Linked DNA regions of Arabidopsis thaliana. The protein of the gene in region 2 interacts with the protein of the main gene of each other region in a pairwise test. Each region holds a gene or a part of one and is shown on either strand. Other genes may lie near its edges.

What was found. The genes of interacting proteins can lie anywhere in the genome.
Region 1: the proteins of FYPP1 (region 2) and EIR1 interact in a protein complementation assay, tested with the Arabidopsis thaliana proteins (one study listed by BioGRID).

What each region holds. Positions count from the first base shown.
Region 1 is NC_003076.8:23,097,755-23,107,029, forward strand, and holds EIR1 (Auxin efflux carrier family protein), read left to right. Parts: upstream 1-2,761; 5' UTR 2,762-3,010; coding exon 3,011-3,280; exon of another isoform or gene 3,281-3,431; intron 3,432-3,528; coding exon 3,529-3,831; intron 3,832-4,211; coding exon 4,212-4,656; intron 4,657-5,053; coding exon 5,054-5,323; intron 5,324-5,621; coding exon 5,622-5,889; intron 5,890-5,976; coding exon 5,977-6,062; intron 6,063-6,137; coding exon 6,138-6,295; intron 6,296-6,418; coding exon 6,419-6,495; intron 6,496-6,635; coding exon 6,636-6,702; 3' UTR 6,703-7,474; downstream 7,475-9,275. Other genes in the region: AT5G57070 (hydroxyproline-rich glycoprotein family protein), read left to right, coding at 1-194; AT5G57080 (uncharacterized protein), read left to right, coding at 1,205-1,330, 1,552-1,614; AT5G57100 (Nucleotide/sugar transporter family protein), read right to left, coding at 8,809-9,088, 9,194-9,275. UniProt on the Arabidopsis thaliana protein: Acts as a component of the auxin efflux carrier. Seems to be involved in the root-specific auxin transport, and mediates the root gravitropism. Its particular localization suggests a role in the translocation of auxin towards the elongation zone.
Region 2 is NC_003070.9:18,655,054-18,663,262, forward strand, and holds FYPP1 (Calcineurin-like metallo-phosphoesterase superfamily protein), read left to right. Parts: upstream 1-3,454; 5' UTR 3,455-3,840; coding exon 3,841-3,921; intron 3,922-4,371; coding exon 4,372-4,518; intron 4,519-4,603; coding exon 4,604-4,671; intron 4,672-4,887; coding exon 4,888-4,945; intron 4,946-5,304; coding exon 5,305-5,415; intron 5,416-5,527; coding exon 5,528-5,578; intron 5,579-5,683; coding exon 5,684-5,827; intron 5,828-5,924; coding exon 5,925-6,020; intron 6,021-6,109; coding exon 6,110-6,181; intron 6,182-6,535; coding exon 6,536-6,619; 3' UTR 6,620-6,999; downstream 7,000-8,209. Other genes in the region: VIIIA (P-loop containing nucleoside triphosphate hydrolases superfamily protein), read left to right, coding at 1-30, 222-427, 554-689, 776-905, 991-1,137, 1,241-1,308, 1,397-2,053; AT1G50380 (Prolyl oligopeptidase family protein), read left to right, coding at 7,229-7,598, 7,746-8,029, 8,131-8,209. UniProt on the Arabidopsis thaliana protein: Catalytic subunit of protein phosphatase 6 (PP6). Dephosphorylates phosphorylated phytochromes, with a preference toward Pfr forms.

The DNA.
Region 1 (9,275 bases), on a different chromosome or scaffold from region 2:
TGTTCGATATCGGTTGGGGTCTAGAACTCACACAATCTGATGGCGGAGTTGAGACTAAAGCTGCCGTCAGCGGCGGCGGTATGCCGGGATTCTGCCCAAGCCCGGACGTTGATACGAAAGCCGACAATTTCATTGCCAGGCTTAGAGATGAGTGGAGGCTCGATAAGATCAATTCCGTGAATAGAAAGAGGTAACTGGGCTTTTTAAGGCCTATTATTAGGCCCATTACGAAAACGGCGTAGGTTTCAACCTCTTATGCCCTGCAAGGCTGTGCAATGCACAAGGATCTCATACGAGAAACATCTTCAAGGGAAGTCGGTAAAAATTGTTGGAGATATTTTATATTTGATTGGCGAAATTCGTTGTGATTTTAAGCAATGTGCAGCAAGGACTCGAGTTCAAAAGTTACGGGTAATATTGGCATTATTGGTATAGTTATTAGTGGTAAATGGTTTCAAACTGGCTGGTTAGTTTTTTGGGTTTAACCGGTTGAGGGATTTTGCTTTGGTGTGTTTTGATTATTCGGTTTGAACTTTGGAGTGTCAGATGAAAACTCAATAACTTCGGTGTTGAATGTTTTATATTTTGGTTGGTACGCATTGATGTATGTACAATGTATGGCCCATTGATATGAAAATATAGTTGTGGGCTCTGAGTTTTGTTGGGCCTACCTCTTGTGACCTTTCCCTCTCCCTTACAAGCAATTCTTCTTCAAGTTGGTTGATGATTGTCATAATGACTGGTTGTCGTATGTATCTCTAAGAATAAATTCATTTGTGTGTTGAGTGAGATTCTTATAGCTTACTAGTAATATGTATATGATATGTCAACTGAATTCATGTTTTGCAAGGATATCATTACCAGTACCGAATGATGTGACATATCTGATGAGGTTTGAGGTATTGAACTCTCATGATTGTCAAGTGATGGTCTTGAAGCTTATAAACGATCCTCAAAAAAGTGTTTTGATATTTCCATAATTCTTTAGAGTAGCTTGACCTTATTATATAATTCAAAACTTTGGCCTTAGATAATGAGATTCAGGCAGGGAGGTGACGTGTTACTCACGCGCGAGAGCTGCGCGTTCAAATCATAAAAAGCCGACTTGCTATAAAAGCAAACTTGTTGATGATGGTTCAAAATTTCGAAAAGCTTTTCAAATTTCTCTTCATATCGCGCGCTCAGTCAAAAAGCAGAGCCAAAGATGAAGAAACCGTATAAAGGAAAGTTGCCGACGGGAACTCCGTCTCTGGCAATGTCAACACTCGTCGTCGTTGCTTCCCTTCTCGCCGGAGCCTCCGTTGTCCACAACATCTACAAACCAGATCTCGTAAGCTTCACCTTCTCTTTCTGTACATATGTTAGGGTTCTCAAATGTATTAGGTTTGCTCACTTTCTTCGTTCTTGATAATGCCCATAAGCGTGATCGGTTTAAAACCATTCATTTCGTTCTCTGGCTCTGTGATCTCTCTTTTATTGTAATGCACATAAGGTGTTCGATGAATTGCCCATGAGAGATTTGTAATCTGATTGCTTTTTACTTTTGTGCAGAGTTTACCACCGTTGGAAAGTAGTGAAGTGGCCAAGAAGGATGATTCTGTAAACAAAGTTTGAATCTTTCAATAGTTTCATCCTGTTTTATCAGGCTACATTCACTTTGGTTGTTCTCTTTCAATTCATGAGTTAACAAAAAAACATGGATAAAGTTTAAAACTGAGATCACTTATTAAAGGCTTTTATTCTTCTTCCTCTTGTGAAGATGTAAAGAAGAACAAACTCTTTTTAGGTTTCTTGTTGGTCAATTCACCGTTTTTTTTAAAGAGATATAAGAAATCGCGATGATCGTGTAGATGACATAGAGACCAACGAATTGATGGAGTCTTTGCTACGGATTGTGGAAAACCATGTCTTCGATACATATTGGAACTTCAAAAGAGATTTTAGTGATAATCTAGTTAGTATCTCCATCGTTAGATCCATAGGTCCATTAGGCCCAAACGCCCAATCACGTGGCGTGATAAATACGTTAACAATTGCAATATGAAGAAAACACGACAATTAAATATGGAAGAGAGGCTAATTATTCATCGGTCCAATTGCCAATGTCTTTGACTGTAGTTAATAATAAATCATTAAGAGATTTTCGTTTAAAAACAAAAATACACCGTTTCAAGATTAAAAGATAAGTTAATTACAATTGTATTTTTCCTGATTAAAAATCAGATGTTTACAGGGAACCGCAGATCGCTCAGAAAGTGTAGTAAGATGCTCGCAAAAACCATGTGCATGTCCATCAACCTTCGCCGTCTCAATAGCTTACACAAAAATCGTTTTTGTTTTCTTATTAATATAAAACCTAATCTAAATTTACAAATTTGTTTTCTTATTAATATAAAATCTAATCTAAATTTACAAATTTGTATTACACGTACAAGTGGATCCAAGTATCTGACTCTACAGATATTTTGAATCTAACATTTGTGTAATTATAATTTATAATCTCTGAAGCATTTAATTTTACTTACAAATAATGTTAGACCACGAGACAGAAGGTAAACCAATCTTCCTTATCCCAAGATAAGATTCTTCAAATTAAATATAACGGCTTTTTGCAGAAGTAATAAAGATAGAAGGAATATCTAGTATCAACGGAAAAAAAGAAAAAATCTAGAGCACTTCGAAAAATTATGGACCAAAGAAGATTCAGACTGAAATTATTACTGTATTAGTATTTGTCCATTCACAAAATGCCGAGGAAGAAAAAAGGCATTTTGGTTTATATTTTGTTTATTTGATATTCAAATGTCCAACGATCCTCTCTAGCTAAGCTTAGCTATAATTCAATGTTTGAACACGAATCCCATTATTTTAACACAAACAACATTAATTAAATATCGTCTCAAGGAACTTCACTTCCTTGTCCATAAATACGTTATTTCACACCACATATACTCATCTATATCTCTATTTTTCTTCTTCTTCTCTCTCTCGCCGGAAAAAGTAAATCAAAATGATCACCGGCAAAGACATGTACGATGTTTTAGCGGCTATGGTGCCGCTATACGTTGCTATGATATTAGCCTATGGTTCGGTACGGTGGTGGGGGATATTCACACCGGACCAATGTTCCGGTATAAACCGGTTCGTTGCGGTTTTCGCGGTTCCTCTTCTCTCTTTCCATTTCATCTCCTCCAATGATCCTTATGCAATGAATTACCACTTCCTCGCTGCTGATTCTCTTCAGAAAGTCGTTATCCTCGCCGCACTCTTTCTTTGGCAGGCCCGTCTCTTTCAATAATCTCTCTATGCACATAATCTATCTTCATTAAGTGATGGTAGTCTACTAGTAATTGCTATGATGGTCAATTTTTACTCGAAAACATATTGGTTATCGAAAGCTTATAGTATAGTAACTATGTCATTTAACACGGGTAAATATTTTAGTTAACATTTTAGCTCTTTTGTAATATGTGTCTCTAAACACACACATTCTCATGTTTGTGTATATATTGTGATATTATTTTTTAGGCGTTTAGCCGCAGAGGAAGCCTAGAATGGATGATAACGCTCTTTTCACTATCAACACTGCCTAACACGTTGGTAATGGGAATCCCATTGCTTAGGGCGATGTACGGAGACTTCTCCGGTAACCTAATGGTGCAGATCGTGGTGCTTCAGAGCATCATATGGTATACATTAATGCTCTTCTTGTTTGAGTTCCGTGGGGCTAAGCTTCTCATCTCCGAGCAGTTCCCGGAGACGGCTGGTTCAATTACTTCCTTCAGAGTTGACTCTGATGTTATCTCTCTTAATGGCCGTGAACCCCTCCAGGTATGAATTTTTCACTGATGACCTTTTTCATATGTTTGTTCAAATTAACGGACCGGTTAACTCAAGTAAACTAGAAAATGGGTAGTTACTAGTTACGACATGACTACATGTCATTTTGGGATTCCTTTTTGCCTATGTAAATCTATAACAAATTTTGAGTTTTGTCTGAGTTCCTTTTTCAGAAGTCAAAAATAATCTTCAAAGTGACGTGTTACATTATTCACGCAGAATTTAATAATTAGTACAATATAAGAAATATCAAGTTATTAACTATAGTCTAGTTGAATTTTCATTCTTTTTGTACCGATTCGGTTATATCCGGTTTAAATCACATCGACTCGAAATTCATCACCTAAAAATATGGATTTATCTTTCATTAGACCGATGCGGAGATAGGAGACGACGGAAAGCTACACGTGGTGGTTCGAAGATCAAGTGCCGCCTCATCAATGATCTCTTCATTCAACAAATCTCACGGCGGAGGACTTAACTCCTCCATGATAACGCCGCGAGCTTCAAATCTCACCGGCGTAGAGATTTACTCCGTTCAATCGTCACGAGAGCCGACGCCGAGAGCTTCTAGCTTTAATCAGACAGATTTCTACGCAATGTTTAACGCAAGCAAAGCTCCAAGCCCTCGTCACGGTTACACTAATAGCTACGGCGGCGCTGGAGCTGGTCCAGGTGGAGATGTTTACTCACTTCAGTCTTCTAAAGGCGTGACGCCGAGAACGTCAAATTTTGATGAGGAAGTTATGAAGACGGCGAAGAAAGCAGGAAGAGGAGGCAGAAGTATGAGTGGGGAATTATACAACAATAATAGTGGTATGAATTTTTTAATATATATATATATATATATTTATTTTTTATTTATTTTTTTAAAAAAATATATTTTGCTTCTTTATAAATTTAAATAGATATAAGAATCGATTCAGATATTATTATTATTTTCCATCAGTCACCGGTGATTATAAGTGGGATATTATTAGGTTTAAAAAGGTTTAAAAGTTAAGTAAAGAGTTCATCAAATAATTTTGCGTAATTATTTTTTTCTTTTAACAAAATAATAATAATTTAGTATATCACTTCCAAAACTCTTAGGTTTTTAAACTGATTATAGTTTTGGAAAACAAAATATTAATTTTGTATTTTGAAATTTAAATGTGATTTTTTCATTATAATGTAATGTTTTAAAATAAAATTTTCTATAATTTATGGTCAGTTCCGTCGTACCCACCGCCGAACCCAATGTTCACGGGGTCAACGAGTGGAGCAAGTGGAGTCAAGAAAAAGGAAAGTGGTGGCGGAGGAAGCGGTGGCGGAGTAGGAGTAGGAGGACAAAACAAGGAGATGAACATGTTCGTGTGGAGTTCGAGTGCTTCTCCGGTGTCGGAAGCCAACGCGAAGAATGCTATGACCAGAGGTTCTTCCACCGATGTATCCACCGACCCTAAAGTTTCTATTCCTCCTCACGACAACCTCGCTACTAAAGGTTTATTAATCTCCAACTTATTTCATATTTTTTTTTATCATTACTTGCCACGCTTCTATTTTTTTTTTAACTTTTAGGAAAAATGTATAAAGCTCAATATCGGTTCTAAGTTTTTTTTATAGTTTTTTCAAAGTTTCAAAACTTATGAAAACTTTTAAACTAATTAAAGTAGATTTTTATTTGGTTCCGTACGGCTTTCTATAAGTTAGTTTTTTGGTCGAAGAAAGGTCATAATAAATTTAGTTTAGTATTTTCTGTGATATTTAATTATAATTATATTCATACTTGGTGATGACAGCGATGCAGAATCTGATAGAGAACATGTCACCGGGAAGAAAAGGGCATGTGGAAATGGACCAAGACGGTAATAACGGGGGAAAGTCACCTTACATGGGCAAAAAAGGTAGCGACGTGGAAGACGGCGGTCCCGGTCCTAGGAAACAGCAGATGCCGCCGGCGAGTGTGATGACGAGACTAATTCTGATAATGGTTTGGAGAAAACTCATTCGAAACCCTAACACTTACTCTAGTCTCTTTGGCCTTGCTTGGTCCCTTGTCTCTTTCAAGTAAGTACTAATAATAATGTCACAATCATATAACATAACAATATATTTGGGCAATTGCTTGATGTTGTTGATCATTTTATGGGACAGGTGGAATATAAAGATGCCAACGATAATGAGTGGATCGATTTCGATATTATCTGATGCTGGTCTTGGAATGGCTATGTTTAGTCTTGGTATAGTTCCCTTCATATATATATTTAGTTATAGTCTTTGGTGCTTTTTTTTTTGCTAATTATTGATACATATAGGTCTATTTATGGCATTGCAACCAAAGATTATTGCGTGCGGAAAATCAGTAGCAGGGTTTGCGATGGCCGTAAGGTTCTTGACTGGACCAGCCGTGATCGCAGCCACCTCAATAGCAATTGGTATTCGAGGTGATCTCCTCCATATCGCCATCGTTCAGGTGATTACTCTTTAGTCTTATATATATTTCAATCTAACTTACAGTTTGATGTTTTAGCTAGTGATGTTGGGTTTCTTTGAAAAATATAATTGATAAGAATATATATAATTGTATGTTTTGAAGGCTGCTCTTCCTCAAGGAATCGTTCCTTTTGTTTTCGCCAAAGAATATAACGTCCATCCTGATATTCTCAGCACTGCGTAAGTTATTTAAGTTATAAAATATTTAATTTTCATTCTTAAACTTCATTTTAATACTATATATAAGATATTAATTTGGTATTCAAACTATACAAAGTTACAGAGATCTCCTAAGCTAAAAACTTGATATTATTTTTCAGGGTTATATTCGGAATGCTGGTTGCTTTGCCTGTAACAGTACTCTACTACGTTCTTTTGGGGCTTTAAGTTATTATCAAAACGTATTTGCAAATAAAAGGCGATACGACCCAAAGGTGATTTTTTTTCAAACGAAAAAGAATAATTACAAGAACGAAAAAAGACTAATTCCAGGTCAGGCTTAGGTGTATGGGACCATGCAATGTCGCATTAATTAAATTATAGCATATGATAGTCGAAAATTTAGATAACTTTGTATAATTAATTATATGCACATGCATGTACGTGACTTTGTAGTTTTTGTTACATTTATTAAATTTTTGGGATGTGCAAGTACAATTATTTACTATTGATTAGTTTTTTCTATTTATCGATGGTCGTGAAGCATGTTATTAAATTACACTAATATTTCATCATATACTAGTCAAGTATTACTAGATCGCGCAGTCTGTTTAGATTAGATCTTGTGCTTTTCTAAATCTCCATACAATTCTTTATTTTGTTTTGGATCAAATGCACTAATACTTCCACATATAACCTTTTTATTTCATTTCTTTTGTCTTATATATTTATGTTTTTGTTTGTATGTAAAGTTAATTATGAACGTTATTTTTTTTGTTAAAAAATTATGAACGTAATATTCGGTTGAAGCTTGAAGGTAGTCGCATTTTAATTCGATGAGTAAAGAACAATCAAACTTATAATAGAATTTAATTTTCCTTTATTTTAGTATATACTTATCTGTCACCAATAAGATATCACTCGGACTATTTTTGGAGTGATACAAAGAATTTGCGTGGAGAAAGAAACATTTCAAATGAAAGCACTAGTCTAGACAATTGATTGTGTAGTAAGATAGTTGCTGATGATAAGTTTTGCGTTATAGACAAATTGTGCATATCTAACATGTGTGAATATCTTAACGAGTGATCAAACTTTTCAACCAAACTGTCCAAAGTTTTTATGAAATAGAAATTATTTTTCTTCTTTTTCCTTGCGTTTGATTAATTATGAGCTCCTCAAAACGTATCGGTGATCGGCGCTTGAATTTAAGTATGTAAATGTAATGTACTAGAAAAGATGGCTTGGCTCTGGAGGCGTTGACTGTGTAACGTGAAAACGATCACGTGGGGTATCAAAACGATGAGATATACGTTGGAACTCGCTCTTTGGTCGGAACGTAATTGAACGAACAACAACACATGAGAAATTCAATAACAATTCTTCTCTATATAGTTGTCCTGACCTCTGACTTATCTGACAATAGATCTTTTAATAGTTTACACGTAAAAATATTTATTATTCAATGAAGTGCGTAAGAGAAATAGCATATGTATACTAAGGGTAAAAGTATTTATACGTTTTGATGTTTTCAGAAGGTTTTGTGCATTGAGTAGGAGACAACATTTGCTCAGTGACAGCTCTTGTCTCTCTAGGCACCTTACTATTATAATGTCTCATCGTGAATCTTATCTTGTATAACAAATTAATGTTCATATTGTTTCAAGTACATTATAGCACATGTTTATAAACAAACTTGCATAAATACCTTAGAATTTTATCATTTTTGCTAATGCCAAAAATTATCAGTCTCTTACTAAAAGCGATCGAAAATGAATCAGCGTTATGAGCTTCTTTTTTGTTCCATATTGGATCAAATCATCAATTACTAATTAAAAGCAAAATGATACAAATCCTCAATACGTAAGACTAAAACCGGCCCATTTAACAAATTCAGCCCATAAGGCCTAAATCATTTCATGACATTTTGGTTTTGTTTTGGTCTAAAATCATTTTTAAGATTGTTAATTTTTTTGCTCTTCTTATAGTTTATGTTAATTATTATAAGTTGTTTTCTAAACAGTTTCATATAAATTTCATCCTTTTTCAGATGACAAAAAAAACAGTTTCATTAAATTTCAAGATATTCAGCACATATACACCTCCCAAAATTGACAGAAAATAAAAGATACAAGAACATTTGATGACAAGACAAAAGAAAACAAAAACAAAAAAATGAATTGAAAGAGTTGTTGTCAAAAGAAAAGTTGTTTATTTTCAGAGATGAAATTAGAAAAATGGAAACAAGAATCATCGACAAAAACAAAAAGTTGGAATTAGAATCTAATGTAATGTGGAATAATCAAAACTATATAATACAAAAGTTAGCCTAGACTAGACAGCTTCGGAGCCGTAAGGTTCAAGATTCTTGTCATCATCCTTAAGATCACTGAATCTTGACTTCTTCTCCGAGAGAGCAGAAGAAGAAGACGAAGTTTTAAGAGATTGACCTCTCGTGTTAAGGTATGTATATAACGAAGTTCCCATAATCGCCACAAACGCACCGCCAACGCTAATGAAACCACTATTCGACCCGAAAATGTAGTAGTTTCCAAGGAGGAGGACACAAGTCTTGAACTGTCCTAGCACCACATGCGTAATTGCAGAAGTTGCTCTGCAATATATGGAGCAAAATTTGGACTTAAGGAACCACTCAGCTACGCAACCTTTAAATCCAAAATGTAACGACAACACTAATGTATAAGAAACTTTTACTCACCCTAGAGCTAAGGCTCCTGACCATTGAAGAAAGAATCCGAGAAGAGCAGAAACAAGAATGGCAGATGTGTTGGTTAAGCTCC
Region 2 (8,209 bases):
CAGCGACTGAGTGTAGCAACTAAATTTAAGGTTGGGTGATTTCCTTAAACACAGCTTGCTTCTATTTCTGCTCTTAAAATTTGTTGAGGGTTTACTCATCACAGCTTTCATCTCATCAACATATGTTGTCCATTTCTTGTCCAAAAGGCTTCTGCTTACTTTAGAAGGAAACGTCATCTTATAATATTTGATTAGTGACGATGCCGGGATATTTTTTTCAGGGTCAACTTTTCCAATTGATGCAACGTCTAGGGAACACTACCCCACATTTTATTCGCTGCATAAAGCCAAACAATGTTCAGTCTGCCGGGTTGTATGAGCAAGGACTTGTCTTACAGCAGCTAAGATGTTGTGGTGTCCTAGAGGTCGTTCGAATATCCCGGTCTGGATTTCCCACGAGAATGTTTCATCATAAATTTGCCCGAAGGTAACAACTCCATCTCCAGTTGGTGCACTTTCATTGTATTGCATGTCCTCTTATAATAGGCTTCCCATACTTTTTAGTTGCAATAATGTTGAATGGTCATGCTGTTTTTCTTTTGTCATACTTTAGGTATGGTTTCCTTCTGCTGGAGAACATTGCAGCAAAAGATCCTCTAAGTGTTTCGGTTGCAATTCTCCATCAGTTTAATATCTTGCCAGAGATGTACCAAGTTGGCTACACAAAATTGTTTTTCAGAACTGGCCAGGTACTATAACTAGTCGTCTGATGTCTTGACTTTAGGGGCCACAAATTAGACATTCTTACTGCAGTATACTTGCTTCACCATTGCAGATTGGGGTTCTTGAAGATACAAGGAATCGCACTCTGCATGGCATTTTACGTCTTCAAAGTTATTTTAGAGGGCACCAAGCTCGCTGTCGTCTAAAAGAGCTTAAAACCGGAATTACTATTCTTCAATCATGTATTGCCCCTTGTCTCATTTCAATATCTTGGTTTGTATTTGTTATGTCGTTAGAAACCATACCTCACACATCCTTCTGTTTCAGTTGTTCGTGGAGAAAAGATGAGAAAGGAATACACGGAGTTACTGCAGAGGCATCGAGCTTCTGCTGCTATACAAAGCCATGTTAAGAGAAGGATTGCTAGCCAACAGTATAAAGCCACAGTTGATGCATCTGCTGTAATACAATCAGGTAAAATAGGGTTGATTAATTCTCATGATTGAAACAAATTAAACCTCAAAATATATTTTTAAAAAATAGAAGTTTCAAGAAATGCTGAAACCTTTTTCTGTAGCAATTCGTGGAGAGCTGGTTAGAAGATGTGCGGGGGATATTGGATGGCTTAGTTCTGGTGGCACCAAGGTCCTCTCAAAGCTTTCATTCTCTTCGTGCATTTGACTACATGATATATATGCATATTGCTAGACTCTTAAACCAATTCTTTATGTAGAGAAATGAGTCAGACGAGGTGCTAGTGAAGGCATCATATCTTTCCGATCTTCAGCGTAGGGTTCTTAGAACCGAAGCTGCTCTTCGTGAGAAAGAAGAGGAGAACGACATCCTCCGACAAAGAGTCCAGCAGTACGATAACCGGTGGTCTGAATATGAAACAAAGATGAAATCCATGGAAGAAATTTGGCAAAAGCAGATGAAATCTTTGCAATCCAGTCTTTCCATCGCAAAGAAAAGCCTAGAGGTTGAGGACTCAGCGAGAAACTCGGATGCATCGGTGAATGCAAGCGATGCAACAGATTTAGATTCAGGAGGTAGTCATTACCAAATGGGCCATGGCAGGTCAAGAAGTGTAGGCGTGGGTTTAAGCGTGATAAGCCGGTTAGCTGAGGAATTTGGACAAAGAGCTCAGGTATTTGGTGACGACAGAAAGTTCTTGATGGAAGTGAAATCTGGTCAGGTGGAAGCAAACTTGAATCCGGACCGGGAGCTACGAAGGCTGAAACAGATGTTTGAGACATGGAAGAAAGATTATGGAGGGAGACTAAGGGAAACGAAACTGATACTTAGCAAACTTGGGAGTGAAGAAACAGGTGGTTCAGCGGAGAAGGTGAAGATGAATTGGTGGGGGAGGTTGAGGAGTACTAGGTATTAATGGTTACTTCCTTTTCTTGAGACGCACGTCTCCTTTTCTACACGTTTGATGTAACTACGGTTTTTGGCTTTGCTGCTAGAAGTGAGAAGGCTCCTTGGGACTGAAAGAGTCATGTTTTTCATTTGCCACCCAAATCTATTGGCAAATTCAGTAAATAATTTTTATATTATACAGTATATCTATTTGTCAAGGATTCCAAAGTCCAGTGAACCATTGCTGTATTTGAATATAAATAGTCGTTGCAAAAACAAATCAATATTTATATTTCTTAAATAGTTAAGTTTTTTATCAAGCTAATTAAAATGGACATAGCGAGAAATAACTACAAGGTGGTAAACTATGATAATAATATAAATTTCCTTACAAGTTTGTTTGTTTGTAAACATATGGAGTTAGAAAGGGAAAAAAAAATTGTATAGATTTTATACAAGATTGTTTTGAGTTTAAAAAATCTTTATCGTGTTTGGACAATGTGTATTTTAAAAACTATTTAACTACTAGTTTTTTTGGCCGATTTCAGTGATATCTCGACTTAGACTCTACAAAAATTTAGATAATTTGATGGATAAAATTACATATGATAAATCATGCACTTGTATCAGATGGTCAGTTGGTGGAATCCCTCTTCAACAAGTGATCTTTCTTGGAATGTTGTCGTGGGTTAAAAAAAAACTCAATCCAGCCCAAACCCGAAATGAACATGTCTGAGAAAAATCATTTCTATTCTTGCAGCTGAGTAAACTCTTCACAATTTAAATTTCGAATTACCTTTGCGATGCATCACTTTTTTAAGTGGAACTAAGTTTCGGATCACCTCTCGACCAAGTATAAACCAAACCAACACCAATATATACTTTCCGTAATATTTGGCCCTCCGACTAGTGATTTTTTCGGATGTAATTTGAACATTGGAGATTTTTTGGTGAGACAAATTCCATTTTGTCATTTTTAGAGGTCATCATAACAATACTTTTCCTTCTCAAATTATCCCTAACCAGAAGCCAAATGGGAAGACCCAAACATAAACATTGAAATGAATCGAGTGAGGTTCGCTCTTGAACGATCGTATTGCTAATGCCTATCCAAGATCATTGATTCATTTCTAACATATCCCGTACGGTCTCCCACAAACAACCTTCCTCAAAAGTTCAACATCACATAGATTTCGAAATGTGTCTTTAGACACAATTTGTTTAACAAGACTTTTAAATAATTTTTTTTAGGAGTTTTTAATTATCAAAAAGGTCTTACTCAAATTCAACAACACATATATCGAAATGTGTTTTTTTAAAAAAATTAAAAAGAAGAAAAAATACTATAAAGAAGGTTTAAGTATTTGTGGAATTTTATTTAGGTGTTATCAATTGTCACATTCAAGTAGACAAATAAAATTACCAAGAAAAGAATTGCAAAAACATTGAAAATGTGTAGTATACTCCATTAAAGATTTGTGTAATGAAGTAATAGATAAAAATTAAATTGATGTTTAATATGTTGCCAAAAAAATGATTAAAAATAAATATCCAACGAATAGAGTTTGGGGATGGAGGAAGACCAAATCGGGTTCGGGTCGAGATTGTTTGGTTCGTTGTGTTTCCCCTTTCTCTCTCTCTCCCTCTTTCCCCCTTACGTAACCCTAAGCGGACGGAGCAATGCTCTGCTAGATCTATCTTTCTTTCAATTCTTCACCAGAGATCGTCGAGACTCACCATTGAAATCGAAGAAACAGCACCAATTTCCACTTCACCACCGAAAGAGAGAGACAGAGAGGATAATAAAAGGCCGCCATGGATTTAGATCAATGGATTTCCAAGGTTAAAGACGGCCAACATCTCTCTGAGGACGAGCTTCAACTTCTCTGCGAATACGTACGCCTTCTTCTTCTTTCTTCTTTCTTCTCTTGCTTGCTTTCTCTTCCCCGAATATTCATGCATCTACAAAAACCCAATTCTTCGCTTACTCTTTTGAGACTTTAGAGCTTGCTTTGTGGCACTTTACTTTGAATCTGGTCTCTCTCCCTTACTGTTTCCTTTGCCATTTTGGTCTACGGATTTTAGGGTTTTTCTCTCATTTTTCCAATAGAGGATTTATTGACTTTGCTATTTCAATTCTAAATTCTAAGGAATTAGGGATAAGTTTAGCTCTTCTTTAGCCAATTTATGGATGCACCAAGTCCACGCTTGCAAACTGTTATTTGAGGATTTATTATAGTAATTTTAGTGTTGAAACTTGTAGTAGCAGCCGTCTTCTTCTTTTTTCATGACAATGATTTGCTAAGATACTCTGGTAATTCACAAGATATTTTGACTATTATATAGGTGAAAGAAATTCTTATTGAGGAATCAAATGTACAACCTGTCAACAGTCCTGTCACCGTCTGTGGTGATATCCATGGCCAGTTTCATGATCTTATGAAACTTTTCCAGACCGGAGGTCATGTTCCCGAGACCAATTACATATTTATGGTATAGACTCTGACTTTGGGCGTAGGCTCGTATGACATATCAATATGTAACACATAGTTTAATTATCTGTGGGGGATTTTCTCAGGGGGATTTCGTTGATAGAGGTTACAACAGTCTTGAAGTTTTCACCATTCTTTTGCTTCTTAAAGCAAGGTAAGATTTTCCGTAGAAATTGTGCGTTATATATGTCATGGATCGTCATCCTTCCGTTTCACACTGTATATCATAGTTCTCTTGAGAATGCTCTTTAAGCTGTAAACGCATTGCTCTACTGGAAAATCGATTTAACTTGTATTCCAGGAAATTTATATTCTAACTTACTTTGCTGTGAGCTTAAAATCACTCGTTTCCTTGTATTTCAATATGTAGACATCCAGCCAATATCACTCTTTTGCGTGGAAATCATGAAAGTAGACAGCTAACTCAGGTATGCATTATTCTAATCCATTTATATCTATTGTTGCTGACTTGCTGTGCTCTTCACGCAGTTACTGGTTGAGAAGTAATTTTCGCTCAATTGTTATAACTAGTTTTGAAAGTTTATTTTGTACATGTGGCAATGCCATGCTAGATATAGGCATAGATGTTAACTAAGATGCATTTTATGTGAACCCTTTGCAACCATAAGTTTTCTTCTCGGAAGCTCTTGATTTATCTCTATCCTACACCATATCCTATATCTTTTAACATCCACTGTCAAGGACGAAGATTGTAGTGATATTTTGTGCCCTGCAGGTTCATTTTTATAGTTTTCTTAAATTGTCGTACCAATTTTATATTTGCTAGGTGTATGGTTTCTATGACGAATGCCAAAGGAAGTATGGTAATGCTAATGCTTGGAGATATTGCACGGATGTTTTTGACTATCTTACACTTTCAGCTATTATAGATGGCACTGTAAGTATTTCTCAGCTTCTTTGGCATTGTGTTATGATGTGTTCTTGTATAATTTTATGAATGCATAAGTTAGCTGTATACCATATTAAAACGTATTGCATCCTCAATGTAGGTTCTATGTGTTCATGGTGGCCTTTCACCTGATGTACGGACAATTGACCAGGTTAAAATGTGCTATTTTAAATTACTTTTGGTTTTCACCATGCAAGTGTTATTTATGATTAGATTAAATCTCATTTACTCATTTAGATGTTATTTTGTTCTCTAGATAAGATTGATTGAGCGGAATTGCGAAATACCGCATGAAGGACCCTTCTGTGATCTTATGTGGAGTGATCCTGAAGATATTGAAACATGGGCTGTCAGTCCACGTGGAGCTGGTTGGCTTTTCGGGTCCAGGGTTACCACTGAGGTATTTATATTTTTTTCTGGGGTTGAAATTTGAATAAGGTGTGAAAAGAAATAAATGTATTTCAGTTCCCTGATCTGTGGTTTTGCTTCTTGTGCAGTTTAACCATATTAACAATCTTGATCTAGTATGTCGCGCTCACCAGCTTGTACAAGAAGGTCTCAAGTACATGTTCCAAGATAAAGGTCTTGTAACTGTAAGTGCCTTGCTTCCTTATGATCATTTTGGATAGTTGGAAGTATAATCTGCTTGGTGATGTTTCTTCTCTTTATTTTTTTTGTAAAGGTGTGGTCTGCGCCTAATTACTGCTACCGTTGTGGGAATGTGGCTTCTATATTGAGTTTCAATGACAACATGGTGAGGCATTTGTTTTCTCTTTTGTTACTGATCTGCCACAATATCTTGTTTCATGTTCTTCTTACTTTTATGCACTCGTCTTCGGATTCTACTTTTCCTTTTTGATTAAATAAGTTACTGCCTTTGATACTTGTCTCTCGACCCAAACATATACACATGAGTGACTCTTGTGAGATAGAGTTATGATGTTTAAGCCATTTATTTAGTAACAATTCACAGTTCGCGTGGAATCAGTCTGTCCATATTGATTGTGCTCTGTGTGTTACTTTTCATATATAGACCTGTTTCTGGGAAGTGTTTAGGATCTGGTCCTCACTGACAGTAATGATTTGTTAAAATATGCTTAATTACCAGGAAAGGGAAGTGAAGTTCTTCACGGAGACAGAAGAGAACAATCAAATGAGAGGGCCAAGGACAGGTGTTCCTTATTTCCTGTGATTCATGATGATGATCCTACATCATTATTAGTCTCGTATTGCTCTTATCAAGTTAGCCATTATCATGATTGCCATTGGCTTATGTTCTTTCAAGGTATATCTTCTGATGTTGTTTACACTTCCATTGTTTTTTTTTTCCTTTTTCCATTTTGGAAACATTTTCTTGTGAAAGTGAATGTCACTTTGGTAATTTTAGTGGTTTTGATGCACTTTAACCTGAACCTCTTCTGGATGTTATTATTATACGTGCTTTCTTTCTTGTTTTGTTTCATCTTTGTTCTGTAAGCAAGACCAATTTTTATCATCTCAGCTTATTTGCAGTTTAGCACGGTTTGATTAGGTTCTGGGTTAATCTCAGGCTTATAAAATTCATCAAGCTCAAAAATAGTCCACTACAAGAACATAGAAGACCATTAATCAACATTCAACAGTAATTTGTTTCTAATCTAATTATTTGGTTTTGTTCAATAATCCTAGCAAAAATTCACGAAAGAGTTAATAATTTTGTAACCGGAATCATAGATAGGCCGGTTTATCCAAACCGGATATGACCTGTCCTCTATTAACAAACTGGTCGCGAGTCTCTAGGCAACTAAAACGGACACGTAATATGATAATAAGGCGTGGACTCGTATCTCTCGGCACTCACTTTCTCGCGACTCGTAGTCGTCTTCTCCACTTCGATACTCCTCTCTCTTGCCTCGTTCCTCTTGTTCCTCGCCGCCGCTCTATTCTACGGCTGTCTTCTTCTTTTTCCTCTTCCTCTGAAACCGGAGCTGCGTCAGTGCGGTTGACATCACCGAGAGACATGGCGGAATCGAGATCCCCTCCTGTAGCGAAGAAGGTGGAGCATGTGATGGAGATGTTCGGTGACGTTAGGGTTGACAATTACTACTGGCTCCGTGACGATTCTCGCACCAATCCCGACATGCTTTCTTATCTTCGTGAAGAAAATCACTACACTGATTTCGTCATGTCTGGTGAGTCTTTTCAAGTTGCCTCTGTCAGTGACGTTGTGATACTTAGGGGATTAGGGTTTTTAGCTTTCCTTGTTTTCAATTTGGAGTATTAGTGACTTGTTGATTATGCAAGCTTGTGATAAATTAGACTGGAAAATAAAAATTCAGGGACCAAGCAATTTGAGAATCAGCTGTTTGCTGAAATAAGAGGGAGGATCAAAGAAGATGATATATCTGCACCTCTACGCAAGGGTCCTTACTATTATTATGAGAAAAATCTTCAAGGAAAGGAATATATTCAGCACTGTAGACGTTTGATCACTGACAACAAAGCTGAGCCTTCTGTCTATGATACTATGCCAACTGGTCCAGATGCTCCTCCTGAGCATGTGATATTGGATGAGAATACCAAGGCTCAAGAGCATGACTACTACAGAATTGGGGCCTTCAAGGTTTGACTAGAAAATAGACTTTAAAAATCGTCCTAAGAGATATCCTTTTCAAACTTGCTCTTTACTAACTTGATGTTTCATTTTCTTGATTCTTTTTATAGGCGAGTCCCGATCATAAATTGGTGGCATATGCAGAGGACACAAAAGGTGATGAGATATATACAGTGAATGTCATCGACT